Drosophila melanogaster: one gene and its partner. The protein of the gene in region 2 purifies or fractionates together with the protein of the main gene of each other region. This does not show direct contact. Each region holds a gene or a part of one and is shown on either strand. Other genes may lie near its edges.

Evidence for each region. The genes of interacting proteins can lie anywhere in the genome.
Region 1: the proteins of srp (region 2) and AhcyL1 purify together in Drosophila melanogaster (affinity purification with mass spectrometry, with the first as the bait; one large-scale study listed by BioGRID). This does not show direct contact.

Annotation. Positions count from the first base shown.
Region 1 is NT_037436.4:2,766,468-2,775,220, reverse strand, and holds AhcyL1 (adenosylhomocysteinase like 1), read left to right. Parts: upstream 1-2,895; 5' UTR 2,896-3,431; coding exon 3,432-3,953; intron 3,954-4,729; coding exon 4,730-5,179; intron 5,180-5,243; coding exon 5,244-5,837; 3' UTR 5,838-6,755; downstream 6,756-8,753. Other genes in the region: Atg2 (Autophagy-related 2), read right to left, coding at 1-528; CG12093 (uncharacterized protein), read left to right, coding at 1,319-1,822, 1,917-2,116, 2,175-2,613; Non2 (putative nucleolar protein 2), read right to left, coding at 7,219-7,953. UniProt on the Drosophila melanogaster protein: Might play a role in the regulation of methionine metabolism possibly by binding and inactivating Ahcy.
Region 2 is NT_033777.3:15,990,928-15,998,531, forward strand, and holds the start of srp (serpent), read left to right. Parts: upstream 1-3,212; 5' UTR 3,213-3,298; coding exon 3,299-4,797; intron 4,798-7,604. UniProt on the Drosophila melanogaster protein: May function as a transcriptional activator protein and may play a key role in the organogenesis of the fat body. Binds a sequence element (5'-[TA]GATAA-3') found in the larval promoters of all known alcohol dehydrogenase (ADH) genes.

The sequences.
Region 1 (8,753 bases), on a different chromosome or scaffold from region 2:
CAAAGTAGTATTTGTCAGCTTGGCGCGTATGCGGTTGAGCACGTTGTCGATGGTCTCTGCGAACTTCTCCAACCCAATCAGGGCGTTATTGTGGTTCAGGAAGGGCACATCGTCATCCACCTGCTTCATGCACTCCTCGGCCATTTGCATCGAGCTGCTCACCGACGACCACATGGACTCCAGCATGGTGGTGCCGCTCTGGTAGCGTGTGACTGGCCTCAGTGTGATGGTTAGATTGTGGATCTCCAGGCTACTGTCGTTGGTCATCAGCGCATTCCACGGCACCACGACAGTCAGGCGGCCAATGTGGCCCGAGACCACCTCGAAGGCCCAGCCCTGGTCCTCGAAGAGATCGTTGAAGGCGTTGACCTTTAGGAAAATGTCCTCCACCACAGCCTTGCCATTGTAAAGGTCCACCTTCAGCTGCTCCAGGTTCAAGTTATTCTCGAAAAACTGGCCCAGGTATCGCTGCAGCAGGTAGCGACACATTTTCGTTTTGAGGCCATCCCAGGGATTGAACCACGACATCGCGACTGGGTTGTTGGCCTAACTTTCCACGTTCGCCTTCTTTGTGCGTTTTAAAATTTTATGCGAGTTGTTTTTCCAGCGCAGCAGCAGCGACAGCAACAACAACACCCCTTTGTTATTGTTTTCTGGGTGGCGAATCACGGAAACGGAAGGGAATTGAGGCTTAAATTGTTGATAAGACTCTGGTAAAAACGCTTACCACTCACATTTTTCGATTAGCGGGGGCGCAGAGCGGCTGTGGGCGGGTATATATGTGCATTATTTTGGAAAATAATGAATTAATAAAGCGCAGTAGCAAGTGACCATCAAGTTGGCCCTTGTTCTTCTTCTTTTTGTAGCTGCGACCAGTGTGGCCAGGTGTGGGCACTTCGTAAAATACCCCCTGGTGTGTGCAATGCGGGGGAGCGTTCGCAGGGGGCATTTGAAAATAAAATGATTTATTATTATGAGCCGATTTCTGGTGAGTAATTTGTCATTTAACCTTAGAATCCAGTCTGAATATTTCAAATATACATTGATTTCCTTTTAAATCTGCTTGATTTAAGTAGTCATTTTAAATTAACTTTATTTACTTTAATTTGGCGTAAATAATTTTAATTTAGTTATTAAAACAACACATAATTATCATCGGAGATTTATGCAAACTCCAAACAACCTGTTGCTACCCTGCAACAAAGTCATGCTTTGACCAGTGTTGAAAAACGCAGCTCCACAGCTGTTTTGCCAAGTTCTTAATTATATTTTTGTTTGCTTATTTTGCGCTTTTGTTTTTCTTTTGCTTGCAATTATTATGTTTATTTGGCATTACTTGACCCTCTTGTGCCTTGGGTTCGCCCTCATCGATGCGAAATCCATCAAGAAGTCGCAGGCCAATCTGTTGGAGCCAACTCTTGATCCTGATGAGAAGCTAGGGAAGATTGGGAAGTCCCCACCCGACATTTCCAATGATGTGCAACGTGTGCAGGTTCCATTAGGTGCGACGCCCGGCAAGAATGGCTGGCAGGGCAAGTGGTTTCCCCATGCCCCTGGACAACAGCAGGAAGCGATTGAATTAAAAATGAAGAGCACCACGGAGGAAGTTCCTCCGCTGGAGTTCACAACCAAGGATGGCTGGCAGGGCAAGTGGTTTCCACAAGCTCCCGGAGAGCCGCACTTGGTGAAGAAAAAACCGCTGGTCGATAACAAAACCAAGTCGGGGAAGTCCACCACACAGGATACTTGGCAGGGTAAATTGTTTCCGCAGGGTCCCAATGAATCGCACAAGACTAAACAAAGCAGCTGTGATGATGGCAAGGTGAGTTTGGCAATATAACTAATACTTCCCCTAAATACCGATGAATGCTTAGTATTAGTCATCTTTTTCTATCATTGTTATTAACAATTTTCAGAGCAATCTTGCCGTGGACTTCGATCCAAACGACATCCGTGACAGCCTGAATTTCCTATGCATCAGTAGTAATCACAGCTTGTACCAACCGGATTTGTCCAGAGAAGCCATTCTTACGGAGCACTTTCTACCTAGCGCCTATCTGCCGCCTGCCAAGTGCCTTAATGAGTCCATTAGCTACTCCCATCTGCCTGCCACCAAGTAAGGCGAACAATATTATAGTTTCCTGCTAATTTCAAATTCAAATCTGTATTATCAGTGGCCCCTATCGCCCGATGCCCGCTGAATATGGCACCTATTCCTACTTGCCTCCTCAGCGATACGTGCGTAATCTGGCGGAAGGTGCCATCGTAATGCTCTACCATCCCTGCGCTTTTCCCGGCCAAGTGAAGCAGCTGCAAGACATCGTGGGTGGCTGTCTGTATCGCCATCTGGTGTCACCCTCGCTGGCTCTGAGTCCGCAGCGACCGCTGGCCCTGCTCGCCTGGAGTCGCAGCCTCGAGATGTCCGTCGTGGATCGACAACTGGCGGCGGACTTCATCCAGAAACACGCCAAGCAAGGACCACTTGCACCGGAGGAATTGTCGCGTTTGATTGTCAAGAGACAGACCTACAAGGAGGGCCTTCTTAGGGAAGCGCACTTGGTCAACACGGCGGACGACTACGAGCTGTGCGGCTACCTACAGGAGGATATGTAGGCCAAATGTGTTAACTATTTGTTTTTAATAAACCTCGAATACTTTGCCAATTTCTTTTTGACTCATTAAATTATCCAGCTACCAGATTTAAAAGACTTGCAGCTGAGGAGTTGTAAATCACACTTTATTTACTTTGCTCATTAAAAAATAAACACATAATTAATGGTAAGAAATTATAAAAATTAATTTTTAGACGATTTCAGTTAAAAAGTCGTTACTTTGGCCTTTCTTCAGTGGGAACTTACCACACTTGCAGAATAGCACTAACGCCTTCTGCTTTTGGTATTTTCGCGTGTCTCGCTTACTGTCCTCGGTTCGGTTTAGTTCTCTTTTCTCCGGATAAAATCAAATTCAATAAGCGATCGCCAAACGATCCCCCACTTGGTCGCCACACAAACAACGTCGCCCGAAAGCCGACGGCTGCATCATCATCCCCTCTCCGGAAACTCCCATCAAGCCCCGGATCCAAAGTGTAGCCCCCCATTCGCAAAAGAAGAAGAAGAACAAAAACAATAGTGGAGAGGTGAAACAAAGGAGACTCGCACTAAAAACAATTAATTTAGCAATTTGTGGTCTCCACAACGTCGATAAATCACGTGATTGTGCAGTTCGTATAGACCCAGGCCACACCACTAGCCATTTGCAGCGCATCCTGCTTGGATTTCAGACTTTACATAACATCCAAGGCGCCCATTCAAAGGAGCAGCGGAAAAGGATTGCAAGCTCTGGAGTCGCAGAAGGTGGAACACTAGGAGCTAGAGCAAGGAGCCAATTTAAGGGATAGTAAGGAAATCCCCAGATTACCCTCTACTTCCACCATGAACAACCTGGCAGACACTGTGGTAGTTGATCCTGGATTCGGAGGCGGCGACAAGCAGCAGCAGGCTGGACCGGCGCCGCAGGATGCCAGCGTGGTGGTTCCTCCGCCGGCCACCAAGCAGTCCTCGGCTCTGAAGAAGACAAGTCGGTACAGGAGCCGCTCGCTTAGTGCCTCCTCAACGGATTCCTTCAGCTCCGCCAGCTACACGGGCAGCAGCGAGGATGGCGACGACGTGCCGCCCAGGGAGAAGGTCCAAAAGAACTCCAAAGGCAGCTCCGATTTCTGTGTAAGGAACATAGGCGCCCAGCATGCATTTGGGCGCAGGGAGATCGAGATTGCGGAGCAGGAGATGCCGGGCATCATAGCGCTGAAGAAGCGGGCGGCCGAGGACAAGCCTCTGAAGGATGCCAAGATCGTGGGTTGCACACACATCAACGCCCAGACTGCCGTGCTCATCGAGACGCTGGTGGAACTGGGCGCCAGCGTGCGCTGGGCCGCCTGCAACATCTACTCCACGCAGGTGAGATGTCGTATGAAAATGTCATAGGGTTCTTACGTATTCATAGGCTGCTTAATGCATTTAATGGAATCTCTTAAGAGATATCTTAACTCATTTTCCTATATTTATTTAAATTCATATGCATATGCGTGCTCGGTCACTTGATCTGCTCGGTCGCTTGGAGACAATTGTTGTCACGCCAGGCGACGCAAACAAATGATCAATCAAGCCATGTTAATCAATTAAGCGCCCGCGGCTCAAGTGTTTGGCAATCGCTGAGTAATTGATGTGCCCTGAATTGGGTCGCCATACCATTGGGAGTGGAAGTTACGGACGCAGTTTTAGTTCCAGCATTGGATCGGCTGCGGTTACTCGATCTGTTTGCCTATTCCTGCGGCGTGGCTGATGCAATTATCACGAGTCTGCTGACGCTAAACAATTTATGGCTTCTCTAATGAAGCGATGCGAGTGCGAGGGCGAGCGCCCTTCCCCGATCATTTATGCACCCATCCGTGCCAGCTTTTATCGCCCACGGCCCCCGACAGCCTGTCACGCTGATTCACCTGTATCGGCTGGGACTTATCAGCCAAGCTACGAGTGCCGTGCTTAGCGAGAATGGAGCCCGATGCGTTATCAGCTCGATATAAGTCAGATATTAGCAAATGTTTACGCCGCATTAGGGTGACTCGATTTATCAGGCCAACTCTCGAGGGTTTTACCTGTTTGACAATCATTTTATTAGCCTTCAAGGACTGTCATTATTAAAACAACTCAATATCGTTGCTTATTATTTTTAGAACGAAGTGGCTGCTGCTTTGGCCGAATCCGGAATCCCGATCTTTGCCTGGCGCGGCGAGACGGAAGAGGACTTCTGGTGGTGCATAGATCGCTGCGTTAACGCCGAGAACTGGCAGCCAAACATGATCCTGGACGATGGCGGCGATGCCACGCACTTGATGCTAAAAAAGTACCCGACCATGTTCAAGTTGGTCAAGGGAATCGTCGAGGAGAGCGTCACCGGAGTGCACCGTCTCTATCAGCTCTCTAAGGCCGGCAAGCTGACAGTGCCGGCGATGAATGTCAACGATTCGGTGACAAAGACCAAATTTGACAACCTCTACAGCTGCAAGGAATCCATCCTGGACAGCCTCAAGCGCTCCACGGACGTGATGTTCGGTGGCAAGCAGGTCGTGGTCTGTGGCTACGGCGATGTGGGCAAGGGATGTGCTCAGGCTCTAAAGGGGCAGGTAAATGGCACCCACAACCATTAGTATGATATACCTTTGTCACCTTTTCAATCTCCAATCGTAGGGCTGCATTGTGTACATCACAGAGATCGATCCCATTTGCGCCCTGCAGGCCAGTATGGATGGCTTCCGTGTGGTCAAGCTGAACGAGGTGATCCGCAACGTAGACATTGTGGTGACGGCGACCGGCAACAAGAACGTGGTGGTGCGCGAGCACATGGACAAGATGAAGAGTGGCTGCATCGTATGCAACATGGGCCACTCGAACACGGAAATCGATGTGAATGGCCTGCGCACACCGGACTTGACCTGGGAGAAGGTGCGCTCCCAGGTGGATCACATTATCTGGCCGGAGGGCAAGTACATCATTCTTCTGGCCGAGGGCAGGCTGGTCAATCTGAGCTGCTCCAGCATCCCCTCGTTCGCCGTGTCTATCACCTCGGCCACCCAGGCCCTGGCCCTGATCGAGCTTTTCAATGCCCCGCCCGGACGCTACAAGTCGGATGTCTACTTGCTGCCCAAGAAGATGGACGAGTATGTTGCCAGCCTGCACCTGCCCACCTTCGATGCCCATTTGACGGAGCTGAGCGACGAGCAGGCCAAGTACATGGGACTGAACAAGGCCGGTCCTTTCAAGCCCAACTACTACCGCTACTAGGACGCAAGGCGGGCGGATGCGGACAATAACACCAGCAATTAGAAGAAACAACAACGCCAACGAAAGTATTGTCTTTGCGAAGAAGTAAAACTATTTAAAACAATTGTTGACACACACACACACGGAAAACACAAAAGGATACGGAAAGGAGAACACAAAGTTACTATTACCATTGTATTGCTTAGTTTAGCTCGAGCGGAATTCTTGGTTGCTTTTCGTTAGCATTTAAAGTCTTCGACATAGTATTTAGCACTCGCTTTAGCCGCAGGAGTATTCTCTCCGTTCACCTATCCAACATGACTCTCTAATCCCCAAAACTAATCTTGCCCCAAGAATTTATCCCCATCAACATTTTTTGTAGCCAGTTACTTGAATTTATTTTAAATACTTCGAACGCCTGTCAATCAGACTGCAGTAGCTCAAAAGACGCGATTAGTTCTCTAAATGTATACTTCTAATTCGGAATTGATAATATATTTAATGGGAATTGACTTGTATAATGGTTTCTAGCATATTTGCATTACATTTCTATAACTTTTTCGCGTGAAATCCATGTACATTTTAATGTTAACGACTTTCCTGACTAATCCCTTTTTTGAGCTACGACAGCTGGGCAATAAGTGATCGATTTAACCTCTCGTATTGTTTACGTACTTAATTTGTTAATGTTTATGGCCCCCGCTTATGATTATGATTATACTTTTGTACTTTCGTTTCGTCCCGAGAGCGTTAATGGAACAGCAGTGCAAGGTATTCCATTTATTCAATTATATACACGCTGGCATATATATCAGATCGAGAATTATATATATATATACACTGCATATACACCTAATATGTATATTAGAAAAAGTGAAAAATGTTTGTAAGAAATTTGTGAGAAACGCAAAACAATAAAAAAGGGATTCTTTATTGAGCAATTAGATCTGTTCCACTGATTGATTTCTCCCCCAGCAGCCCCGTCGAAATGAAAACCAGGAAAAGTTGCTTTCGTATTTTTCAGATGCATCACTCGTCTATTTCTCTTTTTATTACTCGGTACTTGCCTTAAACTTGTTATGTTTTTCTTTGATATTTTATAAAATGTAAACTACACGAGTTTGTCATAAAAAAAATCATACACATTATGTATTATAATCGATTTTTTTTTTGTAATTTTCCGTTCATCTGAACTATTCCTAAAATGCCGTAAAGTGCATAATGTGCAAACCCGTCCTAATTAGGGTAATGCTAAACACATGCGTCAACTAAATCTTAATCAAAGGTTGTGGAACAAACAAATCCAGGCGGAGCCGAAAGTTACAGGGGATTGGTAAACCAGGCTGGCGGAGAGGCATACACATATATTTGCATCTGGAGAGGATCGGAGGGCGGATCTGATCTAATCGAGAAAGTGCGGCTTGAGATGCTTCAGCATGCCAAAGGTGCGGAAGCGGCGGATCTTCATCACCTTCATCAGCTCGTCGTCGCAAATGGCGAACTGCTTGTTCTTGGGGTCGTACAAATCGCGCTCCTTGATGATGGCCCACACCTTCTTCACGACTTCGTGGCGCGGCAGGGAGGACTCTCCCATGAGGGCGCTCAGTTCCGGTGATAGATTGTATGCGCGTGTGAAGCCGGTGCTCTTACGTCCCGATCCTGTTCCCCCGGCCGCCTTGGCCTTCTTCTTGGCCGCCGGCTTCTTGACCACCTCGTAGTCCGAGTCCGAGCCGGCATCGCTCTCGGTGCCGGAATCGTCGGCATTTAGGGTCTTGCGCTTCTTCTTGGGCGCCTTGTGCTTCGTGGGCTGTGGCCTCTTCTTGGGGCTCTGCTTCTTCTTCTTGGCGGCCTCCTCCTCGCTGCTGCTGGGGTCCTCCTCCTCGCTGGGCTCGCTCTCATCGTCGGGATCGGCATCGGGATCCTTGCCCTCGTCATCGTCTTCGTCCTCCTCGTCCTGCTGCTCGTTGATCACCTCCATCACGATCTTGTCGAACTCCTTCTTGCGGCTCAGCAACGAGCAGTTCAGCTTTCCCTCCACCTGCTCGCGCACCCTCTTTGCCGAAATGGTCGCCAAATCGGCGTCCTTCAGAACCGCCTGAATTTCACGACGCAGGTCCTCGCTGGAGATGTCCGACATCTTGGTTCGTGGTGTTCCTCGTTTTCCTGCGCTACACGTAGGGGTTTCAGCCTGCGGGTCACATTGTGGGCATTTTCAGTTATTCCATTGTACGCACAACCTAATCCCAGTCATTTTCAACTTACCGGAGATCCGTTTTCGGTGGTATATTCACGTTTTTCCGGATTCTTTGCGGCGCTTAAAAAGACAAATCTTTTTCGTTTTTTCTTTACACCAAGTCCCGGCGTCTCTATAGGGTTGCTACTTGATGAGAGCTCCTATCGGTTTCGATTAATGCGGCAGTGCTGTCGAATCTAGCTAGATGACAGGTATGTGGAAGTTTACTTTACAACTGATTTCGACAACATTAAGGAATATGTATTTATTTTTTGTTTTTAAAAATTGCGATGCGTGTGTTAGATCCATTGCACTTCTTAATAATGAGGTTTTTTAAAAGAATACTGATTTATAAAGGCAATAAACGGTGTGGTTCGGTTTGGCAATGTCCAAAAATCTGTCTCACCGCCAAAGTCTTTAAATTATTCATCTAAAATTGATTAATGGATATGGTTTTACTTTTTCATATGCAGTTTAATATATGTTTATGGTTTTAATTTGCCTAACTTTGTACCTACTCTTGTATTTGCTTAAAGTGCTATCGATTGTCAATCGTCATTGATTCAAAATTGCATTGAATCTGGTCACCCCAAATCAGTACTAAGCTGTTGGCTTATCGATAGTTTCAGTTAAACATCGATTCTTGTACCAGCTCTAAAAACGTCGCGTATTTGTTAAAAACTTTGTTAAAATAATATTTAACA
Region 2 (7,604 bases):
AGTGATTTATCGTTTCGGGAGATCGCTCTGGAGCAAGATCCTCATGTTTGTTGACACTGCACATGCTCCTCCGAATCCCCCACACACTCATCTGAATTGTCCGATCTGCGGATCTTTTCGAAGGGCGGGGCACTCAGCCCTGACTCACATTTAAATGCGTAGTTCTTCACCATAGTCTAGTGGCTTTAAGGCCGCCTACCGTTATTTGCATGTGTACTCAATGCATTTCGTTTATAGAAGCCCGACTTATCAGACCTAACTAAGCATAACATTGCCAGCTTGGGGTCACAGGCAAAAGAGGGTCAAATCGGATGGGGAGCTCGGCTAGGTAAATACTGAATTAAAGTGTGAGAAAGTCACAAGTGTGTAATAGCTTCTTTATACAAGATCCAGATAGTAAACACGTTTAGTTGACTTTAAACTACAGCTGATCTTTTCTAACTCGCTTTAAAGGAGACTACATGGAATGCATATTTATTTTATTAGTGATCTATGTTGAAACGAACATGTTTAAACATTTTCTGGTTTCAAATGCAATTAATTGGCTAATTTAGGTTCTAGACATGCGCGAATCGCATGCTATATTGAGTTGATCCCCCATGTGACGTCAGTGCCAGTGTTTCAAAGTTGGCATTTAATAATTTCAAGGTTAAAGTTCCATTATGGATCCCAGGCACATGCAGCCAATGAGCTCGAATTGAACATTTCGAAATACTTGTTTTTGCTTTCGTAGTAAAATTGAAATTCGTCCGATTCCGATCGAGAGTGTTGGGCCAACCGAAGGCGAACAGAAAAACATGTGAATAAATTATTTGAAAAATATATAAATATGAATAAATGAGGCGATCGCGGAGAGGCGTCAACCTTAGTCCCCATGTGTCTAGGGAAAGGTCCGGTCTAGTTCCCCACTTCAGCACGACTTCGCAGCGATGCCAAGAACACCTTATCAACATTTTCGATTTTTCGTATATTTAATAACGTACACTTATGTGATTTTAATACCGACAAAGGTTAAGCGATTTATGTCTATGTACGAGTGCGCATGTCGCCTGTATTCGGCGTTCTATGCAGCATTCAAAATCGAATTCGATTCTGGTTCTGGTTTTGGTTTTGGAAGCGAAGCACTTGTGTGTGTCGCCCACTATGTACACCAATTGATCAACGATCGTTAAAATGTTCCCAAAATGTCCAAACAGATCGTTGGTGCCGCCTATTCAAATGACGATAAAAATGCCATAAAAATACCGCCCGAGCCTCCCAAGATCCCACTCGAAAATCGTTTTACGACTCGTCCTGGTTCAAATGTAACAATTTTTTAATCAGCCATTGGAACGGAGCTCAAGTGCATTGTTTTTATGTATTTTGGCGCGACGTCTCGGGAATTTGCATGGGCCAAATGCAGACGGACTCCTGGGGAAAGTCTTTCCCCATCATTTTTCTCACGTTCACTTGTCGCGCCACGAGATTTGTCCTGAAATTCTACACGCGTCTCGGTTGGATTTTAATGTTCTCGTCCTCGCGATAGGCATGAATGTGTCTGGATCTGGATCCTGGAGCCCCAGTCCTATGCGCATGGTAATTTGAAAATTTTGAGAAATTTCATATTGGGTCTCTCAGAAGGCGTTCTGATTTATGCGTAAATTTCACGATTGAATTGAAGAACTAACCGTGAAGAGTATTGAGACGAAAGTAATGGGCTAAAGTGAAGGGAGTTTTTTTTAATTCTGGTATGCTATTATATTTGAAGTTTAATGAAATTATTGGGTTTGCCCAAAACGCAATCAGAACATTTAGCCTTACATATTGAGTACCTTTTATAAATGTATCTTATTTTAATTACTGTTTTAACGTTTTTGATTTTCTTAAAACTATATAAACATATATTTTCTTTGTTTATTTTTATATTCATGTTCATATTCATATACAAAATTTTTAATCTATGCTGTTAATAATTCGAATCCGTACAAATTAGACCGTTGGTATTATGCATATATGTTAATGATTCTGTTTTTGAAAATGTTTACTATATTTTTAATTAAACTTCATTGTTGCTTTATACTTCTACATTTCAAATATTCATTTAAATAGAAATTTTCAGTAAGAAATGTTACATTTTTCAAATTCCTTTAAACTTAGCTTACATTTTAAACGTTTCTTAATATACATGGATTGTTTTTTCATTTAATTTCCAGATTTTGTGTGTACTTTTTTGCGGTCGCTGGTAGTCGACAGTCAACCAACCACAATAACAGCGACCACAACAACACCAATCGAGCAACAGTAGAGGCCGCCCCAGCTACAACAACAACACGTTCCGGCATGGCCTCTACCTCGGCCTGCCCCCACCCACCCCTTCTTCAACTTTCCGCGCCTGTTGTTGCTGCTGATGTAGTGAGAGGCGGAGCAACGCAGCACAAAGCGGAGGCAGTAAGTGCGATAAGGCAGGCATTAGGCGCAAGCACAAGCGAATAGTAAGCGAAGGAAGAGAGGAGCCAAAGAGAGGGATCCACAAAAAGAGAAAGAGTGAGTAGGCGAGTGCGGGAGCGTGGAGCTCGCATCGAATATTTCGAAATATTTAAAGCTGTACACGAGACGAAAATATTCATGTTTTCGAAATGAATTTGATCCTTGTTGAAATCTTGAAAATCTAAAAACTATGTCATAAATTTAGTCATATGTGTATTTAATGTATATTTAATGTGTATATATAATTTATGAAATAAAAGATCTAATTTCCTATTCCGTTTATTAGTCATATTATATTTTTATATTTTATTATATATTTCAATGTATTATTATTATATATTTTATCTTAAGTTTGCTTTATCCAAAGAAATAAATGAATAGATTTACTACATGTTTACTACATTTACTATATGTATTTATTTATTTCTTTAGATAAACCAAACTTAACTTAATAAATAGTGATCTTAGGACAAGGATAGAAATTAAGATGATCGTCATTTTTATTTCTGTGCACCAACATGCGATTACGATTACGAGTGGCGCTCGTGTAACGGCATGTAGAGCAAAGTGCTAAGCAAACGCAACTGTAATCAATGGACAGAGATGGCGAGAGGGAGAGAGGATGCTCGATGAGATTTGTTCTCGATTTGGTTTTCTAAAAAAAACATTTTTAACGAGCTTTATTTTTTCGTGTTGCTTTGCTGTTCCGTATTTCGAAGTTCGAACCGCAAGCCGCTCAAATCAAATCAGTTTCTGTGAAAATCGCGCCGGATACGGACACGTACGTGGATTGCGGCGGAGAATCCGGATAATCGTGTGGAGCGCCGGAATCATGACGAAAACGACAAAGCCCAAGGAGAAGGCAGCGGCGGGAGGGGCGGTTATAGGGTCGGGATCGGGATTGGGTTCGGTGACCAAGGCGGGCGGCGGTAGTCTGCTTTCGAATGCGGCGGACAGTAAGATCCGCACGGCCAAGTCCAACAACAACAAGCGGCAGGCAGGACGAGCGGCGACAGCATTAGCAGCTACAACAACAGCATCAGCCTTAGCGGCAACAACAACAGCGGGAGCAACAGGATCAAATGCAGCAGCGAATGAGACGGAAATAGCGATCGAAACGGAGAACGGAGAAGCAGCGACGCCGACTGCGGCAGCAACGGCCGCCGCAGCGAATTTATCGTCACTTGAGTCCGCTCGCTCGCAGGCTCTCACTTCAGTTGTCAGCGAAACAGCAAGGCAAGCGGTTACCACAGCAAACGCGTCGGCAACATCAACATCAACAGTTACAGCAGCAACAGAAATAGCAACCGCAACAGCAAGCGACACAGCAGCAACATCTGAAGCAGCGATCGATGACGATCCAAGTGCGATAAATACTAACAATAATAATAATAATAGTAAAGCGCAGAACGACGCGAGTGAAAGTGTTAAAACAAAAGTGATAAGCTACCATCAGTCTGAGGATCAACAGCAACAGCAGCAGCAACAAGCCCAGATCTACGAGCAACAGCAACAGTTTCTCAGCCAGCAATTAATAAGCCACCATCAGCAGGAACAGCATCAGCAGGCGCAGCAGCAACAGCATCAGCAGGTGGTGCAGGAGCAACACCAGGCCAGTTGGCTGGCCTATGACCTGACCAGCGGATCAGCGGCAGCAGCAGCGGCGGCAGCGGCAGCAGCATCGCATCCCCACCTCTTCGGGCAGTTCTCCTATCCGCCCAGCCATCATACGCCTACCCAGCTCTACGAGCACTACCCCAGCACGGATCCCATAATGCGGAACAACTTTGCGTTCTACAGCGTCTACACCGGAGGCGGTGGCGGAGTGGGCGTGGGCATGACTAGCCACGAGCATTTGGCAGCGGCGGCGGCAGCGGCAGCAGCAGTGGCCCAGGGCACCACACCCAACATAGACGAGGTCATCCAGGACACGCTGAAGGACGAGTGCTTCGAGGATGGCCACAGCACCGATTACCATGTGCTGACCTCCGTGTCCGATATGCATACGCTAAAGGACTCCAGTCCCTATGCCCTCACCCACGAGCAACTCCACCAGCAGCAGCACCATCACCAGCAGCAACTGCATCACCATCAGCAGCAGCAGCAACAACTTTACCACCAGCAACAGCAGCAGCAGCAGCAGCAACAACATCATCACCACCACAACAACTCCACCAGTTCGGCGGGCGGGGACTCCCCGTCGTCCTCGCACGCACTGTCCACCCTGCAGAGCTTCACCCAGCTGACCAGCGCCACCCAGCGTGATAGCCTCTCGCCGGAGAATGACGCCTACTTTGCGGCCGCCCAGCTCGGCAGCAGCTTGCAGAACAGGTGAGTCTTGCCGCGGAGCACTGTAATGAGCTCACTATCACGAAGCGGGCGAGCGCACGTGCCTTTCGACCGCTTGGCGACACCGTTAAAAGTCATGATCGGAGCTCCGATCAGCGATCAGCGATCACCTAACAGAGAACCGCGCCGGCTGATTCATATTTCTCCCGCCTTGGCGCGATTTGCTCGGGCGGAGTGACGAACCGAACAGAAGCGCCCATTGTGGGTATTGGTTCCAAAGCTCGGACTTCGGTCTCCTCTTTTCCACCGTCTCTCGCAATCCCAAATCCATACCCAAATACAGTCGGTTATGGTTATGGCGTTATGGCATTCCCAGGTGGTTTACTCAATATGCGGAATGCGAAAATCTGTTCCACTTTCATCTAGCCACCAAGTTAGTTCTGCTCCAAGAATGTGTTTCCAGCGGGACAACAAAAACATAAACAAAACACAGTTGTGAAGCCTCCGCAGATGTCTCATATGAGGAGCATTCCACGCATGACGCCCTGCGTGGGAGCAAAGTCAGTGGGGCAGGACTTTTGGTTTAGAAAAGTAGCTTAACGTATAGAAAATTTTTCGACAAAATATTCGTCCTGCCGATCTTAGGAAATTTTATTTAATATTCAAGAATGTTACTTTTACCTTCAGAGATGCTACTTAAAGTTTATTTATATAAAGTTCAGGGATTGATTATTATTTTAACATACTCCATTTAACATAAATCTTGTCATCTTTCCGATTATTTAGGAATATTGTTCGGCTTCTATTAGGAAAACTAACCTTGTCCACGATCAAAGTAAACAATGTGAGACAACAAATAAAGAGGCTTTGCACTTGGCATTTTATAGCGTCGCCTCTGTGAAATCATCTGCAAACTCGAACTCAGCAGAATATACACAAATTGCCGCTCGAATTTCGTAAACAAGAATATGCAATGTCTTAATTATTGACGCATGGCTTGTCTGACTCATGAGTTTTCCCCTTTGGATCCTAGTCCGGGCAGCACCGACTTCCCCACCAGATGCAGGAAATCTAAATGGTTCACTTAGTTTCTTTGTTAGTTTTTCCGACCAGCATGCGTGAGCTAGTGTTGCACGTGTCCAGGTTGCTGCCACATTTGGCCTAAAACCAGCACGTGCCACAGACTGTGGCAAGCTAGCTCCTAAAAGCCAAACAAAAAAGGGGGCGCGACCCGCATTTGATTGAACAGTCGAAACTCGCGGCGACTCTTCAGAGCCAAAACCAAAAAAAAAAAAAACAGTAAAGGCAAATTGCCATTGTAGCGCATTTTTCTAGCTTGTTTTGGGTGCTCGGGTTGCAAGCTCTATTGCTTTCGGTGAGAGGATACCTTTCGAGTGTGTGACTGTTTGGGAGCCGGGGTAACCCAAAGCCATCCCGTGACATAGAAACCCCCGAACGAAACCCAAACTGGAGCCCACAGAAACAGAAACAGCCTCAAATGCTTCGTAAGTGTCTATTTTTTTTTTGTGTTCAGGGCTGCCTCTGCTGACTCAGCAACCCCCAAGTTGCAGTGCACCATGAAGGGTTAAGGAGAGTGGCAAGCGGAGCAGCAGCGTTACGTTAGGTACGGCGGGAAATTATAAATACATCGGTGGGAGGCAGCGGACCCAACGCACCCGCACATTGCCGATCGCGTTTTACTCGACTATTTTCTGGTAATTCGCATCTATACTTTTAGCTTTTTTCGTTTGTTTTCCCTATGTTATTATTTAAATTGAAAACGTGTTTTGCATATGCATATGGAAACAGGCATGAATGCACATTCAGTTGAAGTATATATGAAGTCATGTGAGGAACAGACCAAAATGTTAGATTTTTAGAAGTCAAACATGTTAGAAACGCAATTGGGTGAAATTAGAGTTATGGAAAAGTATCTTTCGTATGACGGAAATATACACTTGTACATATATGTGGTAACATAACGTCATCTGGTGCCGGATGGTGATGGTGACGCTGATGTGGCCAGCACTTCGTATGTGACTTTTTGGCCAGTTTCGCTTTTGTGGCAGTGAGAAACCAGAAGAAGATATCACGCTGCTGGCCAGCTCACATGCCATTTTTGCCATGCATACACACTCATAAGTATGTGAAAAACAAGAAGTCGACGCAAAATACTCACCTGCGACAAACAACAGAAGTGAACCGCGCAGCGGCGATAAAGTTATATCGTTGTCGTGCACTTTTTCTTGTCACTCAGACTTCCTATATATGCAGCTATATATTATAGCTTGGCTGTAGCTGTGGGGCATCTCGGGCTGGAAATACGGTTACCGCTGTTATCAGAGAGCGTGCGCATCTAGCTGCAAGACTTGGTCGTATAAATTCTGGCAACAAAGAGTCAATTATTTGCAAGCCGTTTGTTTGATAATTGAATACATTCATACGCAGATATGCGATTTTTTTCGGTTAACTTTATTCTTTAGTCACTTGATCACATTGTGTGTGTGTGTGTGTGTGTGTGAGTAGTGACTTGGATTACTTTGGGCCAACACTCACGGCAACAACAATAGCAATCACAGTTGCAGCAGCAGCAGCAGCCGCAGCAGCAGCGACAACTGCAACTGCAACTGCATTGGCATAAAACTAAACCCGACTCAAGTCATTATGCAAACGCGCGTGCCCCGATTCGGTTGTGCTTTCTTCTCGGTCGCGGTCTCCGTCTCCATCTCCATCTCCACCTCCATCTCGTCATCCAGAGAACTCGGCCCGAAATAAAACTGAAAACTAAAACACAAATAAATCAAAACGAAAATGAAAACGCCAATGCTGAGCTGAACACTTTCGCGAGT